Linked DNA regions of Oryctolagus cuniculus. The protein of the gene in region 1 interacts with the protein of each later gene in a biochemical or structural test. Links are inferred from orthologs where the notes say so. Each region holds a gene or a part of one and is shown on either strand. Other genes may lie near its edges.

What was found. The genes of interacting proteins can lie anywhere in the genome.
Region 2: the proteins of PEX5 (region 1) and PEX12 form a complex in vitro, tested with the Homo sapiens proteins (2 studies listed by BioGRID). The link is inferred for Oryctolagus cuniculus from reciprocal best matches to the Homo sapiens genes PEX5 and PEX12.

The regions. Positions count from the first base shown.
Region 1 is NC_091440.1:102,353,886-102,362,523, forward strand, and holds the end of PEX5 (peroxisomal biogenesis factor 5), read right to left. Parts: intron 4,761-8,638; coding exon 4,617-4,760; intron 4,474-4,616; coding exon 4,403-4,473; intron 4,057-4,402; coding exon 3,844-4,056; intron 3,541-3,843; coding exon 3,375-3,540; intron 3,040-3,374; coding exon 2,882-3,039; intron 2,716-2,881; coding exon 2,514-2,715; 3' UTR 2,495-2,513; exon of another isoform or gene 1,561-2,494; 3' UTR 1,303-1,560; downstream 1-1,302.
Region 2 is NC_091448.1:39,035,258-39,045,595, reverse strand, and holds PEX12 (peroxisome assembly protein 12), read right to left. Parts: upstream 5,301-10,338; 5' UTR 4,694-5,300; coding exon 4,568-4,693; intron 4,245-4,567; coding exon 3,691-4,244; intron 2,653-3,690; coding exon 2,253-2,652; 3' UTR 1,422-2,252; downstream 1-1,421. UniProt on the Homo sapiens protein: Component of a retrotranslocation channel required for peroxisome organization by mediating export of the PEX5 receptor from peroxisomes to the cytosol, thereby promoting PEX5 recycling.

The sequences.
Region 1 (8,638 bases):
AGAGAGCTGGATGGAAGTGGAGCAGCCCTTGAACCACACCCATATGGGATGCCAGTGCTTCAGGCTAGTGTGTTAACTCGCTGTGCCCCCCCCCCCTTTTTTTAAGATTTAATTTACTTACTTGAAAGAGTTACAGAGTGAGACAGCTTCCATCTACTGGTTCACTCCCTCAAATGGTCCCAACATTGGAGCTGGGCTGGGCCAGGAGCCAGGAGCTTCATTCAGGTCTTCCTTGTGGGTACAGGGGCCCAAGGTCTTAGTCTCTTCCAATGTGATGCTCTTCCCAGGCCATTAGTATGGACTTCGATCAGATGTGGAGCAGCTTGAACCGAAGCCCACATGGGACGCCGGCACTGCAGGCAGCAGATCTACCCACCATGCCACGCAGGCCCTCATAAGCCATTTATTCAGCCAGACTTCGCCCCTTCCTGTGTGTGTGGCGTGGAGCCCACGCCCTGCGCCTGCTGCCTCACTCCCAGGCCAGTGGCCATGCTCCACCACTCTGCGGAGCCCAGGACCCCACTGCCCTGGGGTCACGGCCGCCACGAAACCACTACACATGCGCTAAGAAAACTCGGAAATTACCCAGAACTATGACGGGAAATTCACACCTAACTGTCACACGCTTACTATACCAGGAATACTCCTTCTGCCTTTTCAACACATGGTTTGCAAGGTAACCTTAAGCAGTTTGCTAACCTTTTCCCCTCATTGAAGTTAGCATCTACTGTCACTGGGAACTGTCCCCTAAATATCAGCAGCTATTTTATCTGCTATCTGGATAATTTGCTGACCCAGTTCTGAGTTTTCTTTTTTTCCTATTCTGATGTGGCCATGGACACCTATCTCCAAAATATTCATACTGATAAACACATAAATATTTGCTTGCAGTTTAAATGTTTTCCTTGGAATAGATTTCCATGTTGCGAAGGCTCTTTATATAATTCCTGACAAGACAGGCAAAGCCCAGTGAAACCTTTAGAAGCCTGAACACTGGAAACAAACTATCAAAACCAACGCACATAATCATAACAGAAAACAACCCAATGATGAGACAGCTCTGTGGAGTCTCCTTTGCAGGGGGAACTCAAGTGTAAAACTTCACCATCCGCAAACATCTGTGTCTCCTGCCAAGCCCGAGGCTCCAGGAGCACAGTGTCCTTGTCCGTCTTACCCGTCGTACCCGCACACGTTAGGTGCTCAGTAATTGCTGGGTAGATGGATGGGTGATCAACATGCCAATGAGAACTGGAAAGATGAAGACCAACCCACTTCCCACCACCAACTTCAGCAGAATTCATATCCACATTAGTTCCATTTATTCTTCATACAAATATTTTACAGTTTTATTTTTAAATCATTTACACATATTCATACAAAGAAAAATAAATTTCAGATGGAACCTGGGGCCCATGGTAGTTTAAAAAAAATCTCTCTGATCATTAGCTACTGAAGACAAGGCGGCAGGAGGCTTCGCAGTCACTGCCAGTGGTCATGCGTCTCCCCACGCAGGGCCGGGTGACAAGAATCCAGGCTACCTCGGCTTCCCTCCATCTTCACCTTGTGGAGGTAACATGAGGGGAGGGGGCTTGTCAACCCTCTCCCCCTGGAAATATTTCAAGAAGTATAGCAAAGGCTTATGGTAATACTGAACCCCCTCTCTGCTAGGAATTTGGCAAGATTACAATTTCTGAACCAACTTTCTAGAAGAGTTGGCCTGATTCCTACTCACAGTTCTTCCTAAGAGGGACTGCTGCATTCACCACGCTCCTCATCCCACTCGCTCCGTCCTCCCACCAAAGGCTCCAGGACGGAGTCCCTGATCTGATCCCATCAGTCCCCTATAGGCTCGTCCCCAAAATGAGCCTTCCTCCTATCCCACACCCAAACGCTCTCTGTAGCAACTGACCCAGCAGCTCCAGAGGAGCCCACGGGAACTCCCCCAGCATTACTGCAGCAGCATCCTATCAGGCGATCTAACTCACAGCCATGAGGTCCAAGAATGACAGAACTCTGTGTGCCCCTAACACAACTCCACTCTCCTCAGCCAGCTGCTAACATCCCATCCCGGAGTCGACGTCAGAGATGCACGATGAAGAACTGCCCACACACAATTGCCCAGGAAGGCTGGACTGTTACCAACTTCCAACAAAGCGGGGGAAAGGACAGACATGACAAATGTGGTGGACCCCACAGACACGGTGGCTGGTGACAGCCATCGGGTCCTACCCAAAAAGCAGCACCAGGAGAGGGCACGGTGAGCAGAGAGAGACCTGGGGCTGAACGTGCAGTCCCTGAATCACCAAAGGACTCAGAGACAACACAGTTCCTTTTCCCACGATTACGCAGGAACGACACGTGGACTCTGCACCCCTGCTCTGAGGCAGCTCCTGAGAGGCTGTCCCGCCAGCGATCATCAGCCCACCCCCTCGGTAGGCCCATTTGGGGGGAGGGAGTCACATCCCGAGCGGGGACCCCTCCAGCAGACACTCACAGGGCAGCCCATCCCACTGTCACTGGGGCAGGCCAAACATAGCTAGGAGGGCAGGCAGGTCCCGGGCATCAGCCGCCCCGTAGGCGTCACTCTGGCCCAACATGGACAACGCCAAACGCAGGGTGCTCCAGATGTTCTCGGACATGGCACCCCCTTCACCTCGAGGGCCTCGGCTTTTCCTCTGCATGTTCAGGGCCTCCAGAAAGTGTTCCACTGCCTCCCTGTGGGGAAAGGAGGAATGACCGCTTGTGAGCACAATGGAAGCAGGCAGGTCAGGTAGTCTTGGGAGACAGAAGGCTGCGAGGCTAGTTAGGATCAGAGGACGAGGGGCTAGGGCCAAGGCAGGAGAAACAGTGCGTTCATCCATTACTCCAGAGGTACTCTCACCGGTGAGCCCCAAGATTGATGCAGCTGATGCCCAGGTTATAGCGGGACCGGATATAGCCCGGCTGCAGTTCCAGGGCACGGCGGTACGCAGCCACGGCTTCTTCACTCTGGTTCCCATTGGCCAGGGTGGCCCCTAGCTTATTCCACAGCAAGTAGTCCTGGGAAAGGAGGGAGAAGGGGTTGGGAACATACAACTAGTGTGAGATCAAATTCTGCCCATTCCTCCACCTGCTCTGTTTAGCTAGCACATGTGACTATCCCATCGTGCTTCCTCACTGTGGCCACAGTGTAACCTCGTAACCTCTCCCTCCCCAGGCAGACTCCCTATGCCCAGATGACTCTGCACCCCCACCCTTCCTTCCGAACCCTCCCAAGGCAGGCAGTGCATGCAATGCTGGCCCATAATTATCTTGTGACTCCAAAATGCACAACAAATGGTCCTCCAGTAAGATACAGGGTCACATCCCATCCCCACCCCTGGCCTGAGGCTCACATCAGGACGCACGCTGAGGGCGGCTGTGAAGCAGTCCACGGCCTTGTCATACTCCCCACTCAGGTTGAAGAGGACTCCCAGGCCACACTGCACGTCAGGGTCGATGGACGTCGGGTCCAGGCGCACAGCTGCCAGGAAGAGCTCTTTCACTTCAAGAAATAGGGAGCTAGATGAGGAAGCACACACACCCCAAAACAATGTCAGTCCCCAAACAGCTCCTAAAAATTAGTCAATCACAGCCCCAGAATTCATCAACGTATCAGCCCTCCCTGCTACTCACAAACCCCAACTTAGAAGCCCATCTTCCTGTTTCATCCCAGCAGTGCACTGGGTACACGCAGACCTGGGCCTCCCTTCCCCCTCCTAGACCCTTGAGTCCCAGTCTGTCCAAACTTCCAAAATCAAGGCCACCTTCCTCCTGAGGCCCAGTTTCCAGTAATTAACCGTGCCAGGAAGCCCTCACACTCACTCAGACAACAGAGATCCCAGGAGGCGCTTGCTGGGACCCAGTCCTGCCCCGCCAGCCCCTTCTTCACCAGGCGCTACCAGATGTGCATAGGCTGGGGTGTAGCGCAGCCAGTCCCGCAGGGTCTCACAGGCCTGGCGCTGGAGGGACTCGTTGGTGAAGCTCACGGCTAGCGCCATCAGTGCTGTCCGGTTGTCTGGCTTTAGCTCCAGGCACCTGTTGGGCAGAGATGAGCACACTTGGTACCTGCAATGACACCGGCACCCAGCAGCAGTCTGGGATCCAAGCCAGATTTCGAAATGCAGTCACGACGGCTTCACCTGCCCAGGCTCCTCAGATTAAGACACAGAAACCTTCCGCCGTGAGAGCTAGTCACTTACAGGTCTAAGAAACGCAGCGCTCTAGCAGCGAGGGAACCCCAGAAGCCGCACTCTGGGCCTCAGTGCTGAGGAAACACTCTCGCCATCAGCCAGGGACACAGGGGCCAGGCCTGCGCTCCCGGCACCTTGGAGACCACCTGCAGAGCCCAGAACCACCTCGCTCCCACCCTCTGCGCACTCACCTCCGCAGCGCGCTGATGGCGAGGAGTTCTTGCTCGTTCTCTGCCTGGGTGGTGCCCAGATACTGCCACGCCTGCAGGGAAGTTGTCAGCTCCATCACCCTTCTGGTCTGCTGTCCCTCGTCCCTCCCCATCTCCCCCTAACCCCCATCCTGCCCCATGTGCACTCTGGGGCCGCCCTGAGAAGTCCTGTCTGAACTCGGGGTGAGCCACCCACTTCCATGTGCTTAGGGTCCTGCTGCACAGCGGCCTCGAAGAGCAGCACGGCATTCGGCAGGTCCCCTTCCTGAAGCCGCCGCAGCCCTTCTTCAAAAGGCTGAGGGTGGTCGCGCAGGGGGTTCTCTTCCTCAAACTGGTACCCCTGCAGGGAAGCAAGCACATGGGAAATGGTCTGAGAGGGAGCCACCCGGACCACGGCAGCAGGCACGCAAGGACGACAACCAGGGCAGAGCTGGAAAAGGCGGAGGCTTCCACGCAGGGACCAGAACCAAAGGCTGGCAGAGTCTCTGTGCTGGTCTCACAAAGACCACCCAGGACGACAGAAAGACCACTCAGCCTCACACCCGGGCTGCCAACTCCCGCTCACAGTAACCGGCTGCCAGGCAAGCCTACAGACTGCTCCACACTGGCAGCAGGCCTGTCATTAGGAAGTCCTCAGGCGCCCACAGTGCTACCTCGTTCGCTGACTTTTTACTCTACGGCAGAACAGGTTTCTTAGTAGGACCTGTTGAAAGGAATGAGATAAACCCTCCTTAGCTGTTCTAAGCGCACTTCTCGTTATTCCTAAATAATGCGATAACATAAAAAGGAAATGAAATTTGGAGTCAGAAGCTCTGAAATTCAAATGCAACTCTACCTGGCTCCCTGGGGTCACTGTGTGCACTAAGATGCATACAAGCACTTCAAAAACCTTAACTTATTCCAATTGCATTCTTTTCTCCCGCCAATTTCATTTTTAATAATTCTGAATATTAATCTGTGACCTGAACAGAAGTCAGAACTCGCTCCCAAAACACGTCTACAAGACACTGTCCTCTCCCAGCTGAGGATCTGTCATTCAAGAGAAGAGTTATGACGCCAAGAGTTTCGTCGGCTGGCACTTCAGCAAGGGGGGTAATAAGGTAAGACGCAAATCACTAGGAAGCCCTATGTCTTGGGACAAGTAAATAAAATGTTCCTTTTGCAATGAGTAAATAAATTCCATCACAAAGCAATATACCACAAGATATAAAATATTTCTAAGTCTGGTAAGGACAAATTAGAATAAACGAGGCCTGGGGCCAGGGCTGTGGCGCAGTGGGTAAAGCCGCCATCTGCAGTGCCAGCATCCCATGTGGGCACCAATTTGAGTCCTGGCTGGTCCACTTCTGATCCAGCTCTCTGTTATGGCCTGGGAAAGCAGCAGAAGATGGCCCTAGTCCCTGGGACCCTGTACCTAAAGAAGCTCCTGGTTCCTGGCTTCGGATTGGCGCAGCTCCGGCCGTTGCAGCCATTTGAGGAGTGAACCAGCAGATGGAAGACCTCTCTCTATCTCTGCCTCTGCCTCTCTGTCACCCTGCCTTTCAAATAAATAAATAAACCTTAAAAAAAAAGAATAAACAAGGCCTTTTTCATTTTTATTGTGAAATGTAAAGAATCAGAAACACACCCCATCAGCAACACTCTAAACTCTCAGAAGTAAATTGTTTGTCACAAAGGAAAACTGGACAGCTACCCTGGGAGTATAGGAAGGGAGAGAGATACATTATAGGAGACAGATCTGAGCTAAGCATTTTATAAACAGTATACTCGTGAAAAACAGTCAGGTTCTTGAGACATCTCTGTGCAGTTTAAAAACTCGGAAGGCAGAAAACGAACCTACTCCACGGATCAGCAAACTTTTTCTATAAAAAGACCTGCTTCGCAGGTCTGCCGCAACTACTCAACTCAAGCGTCACAGCACGCGTGCACCAGACAGCACGTAACCAAATAAGCATGGCTGCGTTCCAACCAAACTTTATGGACACTGAAATGTGAATTTCATAATTTTCATGTGACACAAAATATTGCTTTTTTCAACCATTTAAAATCATTCTCAGCTAATGGCCATACAGAATGAAGTATCAAGCAGATTTACTCCAAAGGCCAAAGACTGCCAACCCTTTATGAGAATCAGTAACATCAATCCTGGGGCAGCACTGTGGCTCAGTGGGTAAAACCGCCGCCTGCGATGCTGGCATCTCATAAGGGTGCCGGTTCTTGTCCCGGCTGCTCCACTTCTGATAGAGCTCCCCACTAATGACCTGAGAAAAGCAACAGAAGATGGCCCAAGTGTTTGGGTCCCTGCCACCCACTTGGGAGACCTAGGTGAAGCTCCTGGCTCCTGCTTTTGGTCTGGCCCAGCCCTGCCACTGCATCCAGGGAGTAAACCACCAGATAGAAGATCTCTCCCTCTCTGTAACTCTTTCAAATAAATAAAGAAATCTTAATAAAAAGTAAATAAAATAAATAGATCATTCTACCTCATCTACTGCCCAGCATTAATCCATGCATTAAACCACGCTGAAAGAGACAGATTACTGTCATCTACAACATAATTTCCTAAGGAACGTAATTCCTGCCTTTCAGAGCTACTAACATGATCAAGTATGAGATCCACACTTTTTGAAAGTATTGACATATAACTAGTATTATTTAGTGTAAAGCCAATAGAAAGGATAGCATTTTTTATGGAAAATTAATGCAATTAATGTTTCTAATCCTAACTATTCTAAGGCATAACCTCAAACAGGGTTTAAGAATCTACAAACATAATTTTTAACTAAAAATTATTCTGCATGTCATAAATGTAACTGTAATACCAGTAAATAACAGGAAATGCTGTGTATACGAAATTAACATTTTGTCTACGTTTATCAACAGCATGGACATTTTTATGTAAAAGGTACAACTTGCCACAAAGTCAATGAGCTCTATGAAGCTTACCAAACTGTCAGTAAATGAAGACTGGATAAAGAAATCATGGGATATGTCACTATGGAATACTACACAGTGGTTAAAAAAATGAAAAATAAAAAAAAATGAAAATCAGACATCTACAATAAAGTGGATGAATCTGGAAAACATCATGCTTAGTGAAATAAGCCAGGGACAAAGATCACATGTTCTCTCTGACCTGTGGTAACTAATAGAGCACCTAAAAGGCAAACTGTATACATGAAATTGACACTTTGAGAAGCAATAGCTAGAACAGCCATTTTGTTTTGACTGTTGAGGAACAATTTTGGGTTTTTTTATACTATTTGTTGAACTCTTTAATTAAAGTTAAACGTGTGTATAAAGTCAATTGAAAATAGATCTCAGTAAAAAATAAGAGTGGGAATAAGAGAGAGAGGAGGAGGAGGGTTTGGGAGTATGGGTGAGAGGGTGGGCATGGTGGGAAGAATCACCATGTTCCTAAAGTTGTAATTAGGAAGTGTATGAAGTTTGCAACTGTAAAGCTGTATAGTTCTGCATGCATTCCTAAGGACTTACTTCTAAAGGTACAATTTAAAAACTTGCCATGGAACCCCAAAGACCCTTAAGCTGGGTGGTAAAAATACCATCTTAATTGTTAAAATGATCATATGGATAAGATTAAGGGTCTGGTAAAAATAATAGATAGAATTAAAAAGGAGTGAATGCTACAAAGTTAACTGAAAATGAATCTTAGTGGAGAATGGGACCGGGAAGGGGAGGGGGAGGAGGAAGAAGGGTGGGAGGACGGGTATGGTGGGAAGAATAACTATATTCCTTGGGCCGGCGCTGTGGTGTAGTGGGTAAAGCTGCCACCTGCAGTGCCAGCATCCCATATGGGTGCCAGTTCAAGTTCCAGCTGTTCCACTTCTGATCCAGCTCTCTGCTATGGCCTGGGAGAGCAGTGGAAGATGGCCCAAGTCTTTGGGTCCCTGCACCCGCGTGGGAGACATGGAAGAAGCTCCTGGCTTTGGATAGGCAAAGCTTCAGCCATTGCAGCCAATTGGGGAGTGAACCAACAGATGGAAGACACCTCTCTCTCCCTCTCTGCCTCTCCTTCTCTATATAACTCTGACTTTCAAATAAATACATCTTTTTTTTAAAAAAGAGCCTCGGGTGATCACTGACATCATATATAAGAGAGTTAAATGTTAAATTAACAACAACAAGTCACTGTGCACTAACTTCCCATGCAGGACCTCTGTCCTCAAGGAGTTGTATTATAACTATAGTTAAGTGCTCCCA
Region 2 (10,338 bases), on another chromosome or scaffold:
TTTCAATCCTGAATCTGGTTCAGTTTCTCTATTGACTTACTGTTGTATTAAAAATGTATTGCTAAATTAACTCTGGTGTTTGTTTTGGTATAAACCTTTCAAGTTTGGGCCTTTGTTCTGTGGCACAGTGGGTTAAGCTGCTGCCTGAGATGCCAGCATCCTATGTGGGCGCTGGTTCCTGTCCCGGCTGCTCCACTTCCTATCCAACTCCCTGCTAATGGCCTGGAAAAAGAAGATGGCTTGAGTGCTTGGTCCTCTGCCACCCACATGGGAGACGTGGATCTGGCTTCTGGCTCCTGGCTTCAGCTTGGCCCCACCCTGGCTGTTGGCGCCATTTGGAGAGTGAACCCATAGATGGACACTCCCTGTCTCTCTTTCAAATAAATCTTTAACAAAAAAACCCGTACAAGAAGCTTAAAATCCATTATGCTCTTACAGTAGATAAAGGCTTTAATATTTAAAATCTGTAGGATATCCCATTACAAAATTTAGCTTTATATTCTTTGTGCTATCAGAAAATGTCTTCAGAATTGCTGAAATTAATTAAAAAAACTGTCTTGGCAAAGACAAATTATTTTCATTGTCCTATTGGTTTTTTTTTTTTTTTTTTTTTTTTTTTTGACAGGCAGAGTGGACAGTGAGAGAGAGACAGAGAGAAAGGTCTTCCTTTTTACCGCTGGTTCACCCTCCAATGGCCGCCACGGCTGGCGCACCGCACTGATCCGAAGCTGGGAGCCAGGTGCTTCTCCTGGTCTCCCTTGCGGTGCAGGGCCCAAGCACTTGGGCCATCCTCCACTGCACTCCCTGGCCACAGCAGAGAGCTGGCCTGGAAGAGGGGCAACCAGGACAGAATCTGGCGCCCCGACCGGGACTAGAACCCAGTGTGCCAGCGCCTCAGGCGGAGGATTAGCTTATTGAGCTGCAGTGCTGGCCCGTGTTTTTTTTTTTTTTTTTTTTTTAACCCATGTTTACTGCAACCTGCCAATGCAGTGACATATTTTTTATATAAGGAATTTAAGCGTTTCTGATAATAAGGCTTAATTTTGAGTATTGGAATAAAGTTTTTTACTTATATGAAAGATTAAGACAAAGAGATCCTCTGACTACTGATTCACTCAGCAAATGCCCACAATAGCTTGCCTTGGGCCAAGGAGAAACACAGAGCCTAGAACTCAATCTGGGTCTCCCATGAGGGTAGCAGGGACCCAACAGAGTCGTTCTCTGCTACCACCCTGGGTGCATATCAGCAGGAAGCTGGAGCAGAAGTGGAGGAGCTGGGACTCAAACCAGGCACTCTGAGGATGAAGGTATCCTAAGTGGTGTGGCAACTGCAGCATCCAGTGCTTACCTTCTGTCCCAATTACTGGATTAGCGAAAAGCAAAAATTTGAATCAATACACAAATACCTCAAAAAGCCACAGTAGTATGAATGAAAATTTATTGTAAATACCTCAAGTAATCTTTTAAGTTTACACATTATCCTGCTAACATGGAACAGTTCTTTGTTAGAAACATTCTTAAAATTGATTTAAATGTTTTAGTAATAGCCAGAATAATTCATGCCAGTTTAGCAAACTCTTAATAGCAAGCAGAAAAAGCTTATTAAAAGATCCTTTCTTTACACAGTTAAGTATTTTACTTCATATGTTTTTATTAGCTTTGCTTTCACACTGACATCTTCAGACTATGTTTATGTAAACAATCTCTGTTTTAACCGGTTTCCCAATAAAAGACATGTATGGCTCAGAAAAGAATCTTAAAAATCTGATAAACTGTCCCAAACGTCACTGGGTCACAGTGTACAGCAGGAGCATTGTTCTGTAGTGCTCTGAGTGTTTCTGTGAAGAGCAGGTGCACATTTCACATTGTTTGGTAAAACCACCACTTCAGGAGGCAGATAAATGCTTTCTTTTACCACCCACTTCATGAAGTCTAACCTGAGTTTTTTCCTGAGAACTTCTATTGCTCTTAATTTAGAAAAGGATAGAAAAACCTTCCCCTAGTTATCCTTATATCCCCTGCCAATCTCAAGTCTCCTACTTAAACCAGCTTGGTCATTTGTAAGTAGGGGTCTAGAGAGTAGACTAAACAGTTAGGATCAAATGGGTCTGTCCTTTTAAAAAGAGATTCTTACAGTTGTTTGAAGTTCATAGTTATCAGTTGAGGCTGAGAAGAATGTGCTATGTGCCATTCTGAAAACCAGCCCTGGGGCCTTGCAGTGCAGCCCCTAGGAAGGAAGGTGCTCAGTCCCTTCAGTTCTCAGGGGAGTACAGTTTGATCAGATGTTGTACTTCGGTAGGATAGCCTGTGATGGGACAGGCTTGGTGACTCCTCACATAGTTAAACACACAGCGGTAACAAAACACATAGCCAGATGTGGCAAGAACGGTATCATTCACTCGGGTTTTACGACACAGTGGGCACACTGTCTTCAATTTAGGTAACAGAGGGGAATCAGAGTTGTAGTCTAGGTGTACAGGGGGTGGTGGAGTAGGCAGGGCAGTCAGTGATTTGATGGTTTCTTGATTTTCCGATGAGTACCACCAGTCCAGGAACTGCAGGAAAAATACGCCCACAGAAAGGCCAGTGGAGAGGGATATGGCCACGCCCCCCACAGCTTTCTTTAGAGTGGACTTAATCTGCTCACTGATGCTGTTGGGAGAAGAACAGAGGCAAAGAGACTTTAGGCATAATCACTGAGTGACCAACAAATGCAGTGATCACAGGTTTGGCATTTGAATAGGTGTGAGATTGGCACTTCCTTAAGGATCCATCCTAAGCAATCCCTTTCTGATCTTAATGTTTGAGGGGTACAGAATTTAAGCTTTGTTTTTAATGACAAAGGGTCAGGGTTTTGTTTTGAGGAAGAAATTAAGTGGAGAATTTTTCTATGGAAGATAATGCAACCAGAAAAAGAAACAACTAACACATGAGCTCAGCAGCACTGAGCAATGTGTACCTTTAAACATGTAGAATACACAGTAGCTAGAAGTGACACAGCATCAAAGAACACAGCTGTTAGAACTGTACTGCCGGCCAGCGCCGCGGCTCACTAGGCTAATCCTCCGCCTTGCGGCGCTGGCACACTGGGTTCTAGTCCCGGTCGGGGCGCCGGATTCTGTCCCGGTTTCCCCTCTTCCAGGCCAGCTCTCTGCTGTGGCCAGGGAGTGCAGTGGAGGATGGCCCAAGTGCTTGGGCCCTGCACCCCATGGGAGACCAGGAGAAGTACCTGGCTCCTGCCTTCGGATAGGCGCGGTGCGGATAGGCGGCCACTGGAGGGTGAACCAACGGCAAAGGAAGACCTTTCTCTCTGTCTCTCTCACTGTCCACTCTGCCTGTCAAGAAAAAACAAAAAACAAAAAACAAACAAAAAACAAAAAAAAAACACAAAACCTGTACTGCCCTCACCTGAATCTCAGCTCTGCAACCTTCCAGCTATGTGGCATTGGCAAGGTAGTCAGCTGTTATGGATTAGTTTCCTCAACCTCATTGGTTTGTGATGAGGATTGAGCTAACAGAAATGGACCTTGTATGATAAAGGTGACCAGGATGTTGGTCCTTGTTTTAAGGACAAATAACTTTTCTATGATTCTCTCAAATAACTCAAAGGAGACAGGGTGGTAAATTTCCTGAAACTGGGAATCTTAGAATTTATTAATCAAAGCTTTTCTTGAAATGTTAAGGCCTTACCTCTTTGCCGGTTGCTGGATCTTGCTGGCTTCAGCCAGTTTGTGCTCCAGAGCTTGAATATCCTGAACCGTCAGTCGACCTAGCCGAACGCCAGCCAGCTGCAGCAGCGGCGAGTGATGCTGAGCTTTCCCTAGGATGTAGCGAAGCTGCTGTACGAGAAACCAGCCCTCCCATGCCATGTTAACGAATGGATAGGCTGCCAGGAAGGCTCTGTAAAACCGTTTCCAGTGAGAAGAAGGGGGATGGATGGAATATTCATCCTCTTCTCGCAGGCTAGAAACCAGCTTCTCCAGCTTCACTTTCAGGTATGGAAGAAGAACCAGGAACATGACCGATTTCCACAGCTGCTGCCTGGGGAGACCAGCACTGGCCAGCCGCTGAACTGCGTGTGTGTCTCGCATGACAATCCTCTTTAAGCCATAAAAGTTTTCAGAAAAGGAGGCACTGGTTTTAGATAGATAGTGCTGCTGAAGCAGAAGATCCAGCAGAGTAAAGATCTCATCAAACCATCGCCACAAGAAGCCATAGTAGGCAGGGTTTGATTCTGCAAGAACCTGAGTCAAAGTAAATGGACAGGTGAAATTAATTCCATCCCACACTACTGAGCTTTTTATTTAAAATTATCTTTTCCCCTCTGAATTCTACACACTTTCAGCTTAAACAAGTCATTTGGGTCCCACCCTAACCTCCCTGAAGTGCTAAGTATTCAGGTATTCAGTACAGAGCTTCACCTAGAACAGTGACTCAGTAACGTCTAAGACATAGGATATGAATTCTATGCAAATTGGTTATTTCAAACCCGAGGCTACCAAATAAACACAACTCACTGGGTTGGTTTCTACCCACTGGTCCTAAGAACCTTCCGAGAATACCTTACCTTGACCACGTGCTGAAGCGCAGGTCTCACTGCTGTCATTAAACTGTCCTGTGCTACCACCTCAAAGATGGAAGGTTGGTCATCGGCCACAGAAGCAGTTGTGATGTGCGCCCCGTGCTCAGCCATGGTTTCCCCACCAACTCTCTCGTTAGCATGAAAATTTTTTCTTTTTGTATCAAATGCTCAGTCTTAAAGGTAATCTTTCTGCGTAATTACTCCAAACTCCAGTTTTACAGGCAAAATTGAACTGGAGAAAATAGACCCAGAGGTGAAGAGAGGGGGCAGAGGAGAGGGGTCTGAAACTGAGGTCAGGAAAGACGTTAACTCGGACCTGGTTTGTGGAAAGGGGTATGTGGGGAGAAGGTGACTTGTCAAATGCTGCACCCCACAAGGCAGAACATGATTTGGAGGGACAGCTACGGGCGAAGGAGCGCTGTCCACGAGCGGGGTCCTGGAGCTGCGAACCCGGGACCCTCAATCGCGGTGGCTCAAAATCTCGCTGGCTGGGAAGGATCAGGAGAGCCAACGCGGGCCGGGGACGCGACGGCCGGCTCCAGCTGCGGGCTGGGAAGCACCGTCGCCCACGGCCGTCCTTGCGCGCTGACCGCGGGCACGGAGGAGCCCCCGACACCACGCTTGAGGAGAGGTCTCCGCTTTATGACAGAGCCGCACCCGGAAATGGAAACCTCCGGGACCCAGCGGAAGAGAGGCGCTCTAGGCCCGCAAGAGGCCCTGACACCGGAAGTTGGGGACTCTATGACCCCGCCGCACTTCCGCCGCCGCCTCGCTGGCTTTAAAGGAGGCGCCCGCTGACTCTTCTGGGCGCCGACTTGTCGACTGTGTTGCACTTCCTTGCAGGGTCGGCAGCGTAGCTTCGGTGGAAAACCGTCGCTCTGAACTCTCTGGAGCCTTTCTGACGAGGCGGTTGGCGCCACGCCCGGAGCCGGAACCTGCTGCTGAGCTGGGTGTTGGCGCAGGGAGAGGGGCAGGAGAAGCGCCGGCGCTTTCCGCTCTCGCCTGGGCGGAGGTGGTTAAGGGCGTGGGGCCACAGAGCGGGAGAAGGAATCTTACGTGGTCGGTAGCGATTATAAAGAAAAATTACCAGGACGACGAAGGGCCTGTTCGTCAGAGCCCGGCACGGTGGCTTTGTACGCGGGCTGGCAGCTTAACTGGCTTCCAGGTGTCCGTTAGATTCAAGCGTACCCTGGCCGCGGACGCGAACGGGGCTGACAGACCTGCCTGGGTTTCCGTCTGTATACCCAGCTCGGGTCTGCCTCACGACTGCAAACTACAAAGCCCATTCAAGTTTGCATCGTTTGAGTCGCTGGTACAGGTGTGTTGGAGTTTTTTTTTTTCTCCAGATGTACTGGAGTTTCGTTAATTTTTTTAATGTTTTTTTTTTCCTCCGCCCCACCCCCCTCAGGTGTAGCCTCTTCCCCACCCCTGGGCTAAATAGCTAGAAATAAAAGGTATTATTCACTGCGCTAAGGACCTCACGGCATAAAGATAAACTGGTTTGCATGAGAACTCTGAAATACAGAGTTTGCGTTTAGTTTGTTTCAATAGGCGAGAAATAATTCATGCACATTGCTCTTAATGGTAGTTTTAACATGTATCTTTTTACTCTACCAAAATACCTGTCAAAGACACACATGGGATCATGATTTATATTATATACAGACTTACCAAACAGGAAAAATACAAAAGAGGAATAGCATCAATTAAAAAGTGGGGAATTAGGCCGGTGCCACGGCTCAATAGGCTAATCCTCTGCCTGTGGCGCCGGCACACTGGGTTCTAGTCCCGGTCGGGGCGCCGGTTCTGTCCCCGTTGCTCCTCTTAAGGTTCAGCTCTCTGCTGTGGCCAGGGAGTGCAGTGGAGGATGGCCCAAGTACTTGGGCCCTGTACCCCATGGGAGACTAGGAGAAGCACCTGGCTCCTGGCTTCGGATCAGCGTGGTGTGGCGGCCTTGGGGGTGAACCAACGGAAGAGGAAGACCTTCCTCCTCTCTCTCTCTCACTGTCTACTCTGCCTGTCAAAAAAAAAAAAAAAAAAAAGGAAATTAGCTACATATAGTAACAAAAAGGCTAATTTAAATACAAAGTTTTTTTTAGGAGTTTATGAAGTAGCTCAGGAAATAAGAAAGGCCATCCCTGACAGAAGAGGATCTGTAGCGTCCTTTTTCTTTAGCAGGAATTACCAGAGCTGTGTCATTCAACCGTGGAGGATGAGACCTGTCTCTCATGTTCTCACGAATGCTGTTCAGCCAATTTTTGTTTGTCATTGTGCTCATCACTCAAATTCCAGTGAACCAGTATCTAGATTCACGTTTTCTTTCTACAGCCACACTCACCCAGAGGAGGGCAAGGCATGTTTATTCATAGTGGAGGCTACCCCAAAAGTAAACACGTTATTACATGAGAAGAGGCATTTAAAGGAATATGTCCAGTATTAGTCAACAAACCTCATGAAGGATCCTATTCTCTGTAGTGTAAAGGAGATAAGATGCTCAAAAAGTGACTGCCCTCAGGTTAAAAGGCAGCAAGAGCCGTGAGATATATTAATTTGGCATGAGTTTGGAGAAGAAATATCTACCAACTGGGAAAAATAAGGCAGTTCTAAATCTGTTGAACAGAAGGCAAATATATTGTCCTATGTAACCAAGCAATGGGAAGAACAGTGTTTCTGACCTCAGCTTCTCCCTGGCAGGTAAATACAATGACGTGACCCAGTATCTCCTGGACTCCATGTCATAACATGTTCACTTAAAAAGTTCAGTGGCTACGTTAGGCCTCACAGGATGAGTACATCTCGGGTAATTCACAGCAGTGGTGAAGGCCTTCCCAGGGTAAGGGAGTAGCAGAGAGTGAGTATAGAGAGGAAATTTGTTTTCTTAAAACATAAAGCAATAGGACTAGTAGAGGTGTGCTGAGAAGTAGATTCAGGTAGTTTTAGAGGGCTTAGATGCTAATTTTAGACCTTATCTGTGCACACTCATCCACCTATTCAGTATCTATCGAGGACCTTCTGTGTGCCAACCATTATGTTCAGTGCTGGGCCCCTCAATTTTAAACATTTTTTTTTTCTGGTGACATCTTTATGAAATCCACCTCTTTCTGCTGAGAGTTATACCTGGAACCAATTTTTTCTAACATTCTCCACCCACTTATGATTTGTTTAATTTTAGTAGGTCGTAAATATAGAATTAACAGTTGGTGTGGTTAATAATTGAGTGATGAAGTTTGGGGATAGATCAAGGATACAGTTAGTTATATGAGTACAAAAGATAGTTAAGGGCTGGTGTTGTGGCAGAGGAGTAATGCTGCCTCCTGGCATCCCATATGGGTACCAGTTCAATTCTTAGCTGCTCCACTTCTGATCCAGAAGCTGCTAATTGTGTGTGGGAAAGCAGCAGAAGATGGACCAAGTGCTTAGGCCCCTGCACCCATATGGGAGACCAGGAAGAAGTTCTTGGATCCTGGCTTTGGTCTGGCCCAGCCTGGACCATTGCAGCCTTTTGGGAAGTTGAATCAGTGGCTGGGCTGGAATTCTCTCTCTCTCTCTCTCTCTCTCTCTCTCTTTCTCCATCTGTTCCTCTCTCCAACTCTGCCTTTCAAAGAAAATAAAATCAGTCTTAAAATAGTTAAACCCATGGTATTGCTAAAGGGTTAGTGTGAAAATGTATGACTGTAGAACTACAAAATATCATTGCCATTCTCTCCCTCAAATGCCACCCATTTTAAAAATATATATTTATTTGAAAGGCAGAGCAACAGAGTGAGAGGGAGAGAGAGAATCTCCCATCCACTGGTTCACTTCCCAGATGGCTAAAACAACAGCCAGGACTGGGCCAGGCTGGGCTGGAGCCAACAGCCAGGAACACCGTCTGGGTCTTTCACGTGAGTGGCGAGGGCCCAAGCACTTGGGTCATCTTAAGCTTCCTTTGTAGGTGCATTAGCAGGAAGCAGGATCTGAAGTTGGGCAGCTAGGACTCAAACTAGCACTCTGATATGGGCTGCCATTGCCACGCTACCCTCTCAGATACCTTCCTATATATCTTCCCTCTTCATTCATGCTTTCTTAGGCATTATCCATAACTCTTTATTCCTCATCTCCAATTCATCATCAAACTTCTACAGCATGGCTTATGTTTTCCCAGCTCTAGTGATCACAGCAATAATTTCTAACACAGTGTTGTTGAATACTGTGGTCACTTTTCAGCCCTTCCTTCTCATTATAGCAACTGATATTGTTGACCACTTATTCCTAAATATATTTATTCCACATATACTAACATACATTTCTGGGGGAGGCTAGGCCTCAGGGATACAAGAGTGAACAGATTGGTTTATATTCTACTTTCATGAAACCCTGAAAACATCCTACAACATCATAGCCTCCTGCTTTTCCTTCTACCTCTTGGATTATTCCTCAGTTTTTTACCACTCAGACATCTTCACCCGAACTCATCACTTCCCTATCATTCCTCAAACCTGCGGCATCTATTTTCAGTGACTAGAGCCACAATTCAATCCTTGACCAAACCCAGAATGGACATTATATTCCTAGTGTCAGACTTCCTGGGTTCGAATCTTAATTCTGCCATGCAACCTTCCTGGATCTCTGTAAAACAGGGGCAGTAATAACTACCTGGTTATCAAGTTGTGAGGATTTAAACATACACTGAAGTCCTTAGAACAGCTGATAGGTAACAAATGCTCAATAAATATTCCCTAGATTGATATTTAAGCCACCACCATCCTGTAGCTGATCTCCCTGGTGAGCCTGCTTTATTTAAATAGAGTTGGATCTCTTGTACAGTTCCTGACCAAAGTAGCCTTCCATAAATATTTGTTGAATTAATAGTGGAGTGGGAGAAGACAGAGATGGGTAGAAGTACCCAGGAGGTGAACAGTCACAAAAGGGGGAGATCAACCAATACTTTCACCAAAAAGTGGAGAAAGATGAGATCTGAAAAGCTTTTGGAATGATGGTGAATTTTGAAAACAGCACGTATTCATACTTTCTTAAGACACATACACTTCTTACAGAAAGATGTGGGAAATCCAAGGAAATATAAAGAAAATAACTTTGTAAACCACCAAGCAGATAGAACCACTGTTATAGTTGTACATACTTATATTTCTCTCAATTTGGAGTTTTATATTTTATTTTTTCCTTAATATTGCAAAGCATTTTTCTTTATCATTAAGGATTTTTCAAAAATATGATTTACCAAGCATTTTCAGTGTTAGAATTAAATACACGTTCACTGCAGAACATTTGAAAAGCATAGAAAAATATTAGGAGGAAATTAAAACTCTGATCCTCCAGCTCTCTCCTATGGCCTGGAAAAGCAGCAGAAGATGGCCCAAATACTTGGGCCCCTGCACTCATGTGGGAGAGTGGGAAGAAGCTTCTGGCTCCTGGCTTCTGATTGACGTAGCTCTGACCGTTGGGGCCAACTGGGGAGTGAACCAGCGGATGGAAGATCTCTCTCTTTCTTTCTCTCTCACTCTCTCTGCCTCTTTGTAACTCTGCATTTCAAATAATAAATCTTTAACAAAAACTCTGCTCATCCAGCAATAATCAGTTTTAACATTCTGTTGAACATTTTTCTAGCCCCTCCTTTTTTTTTTTTTTTTTAAGGAAATTTATTTATTTGAAAGACAGAGGTCTTCCATCTCTGGTTCATTCCCCAAATGGCCACAATGGCCAGAGCTGAACCAATCCGAAGCCAGGAGCCCGGAGCTTCTTCCTGGTCTCCCACG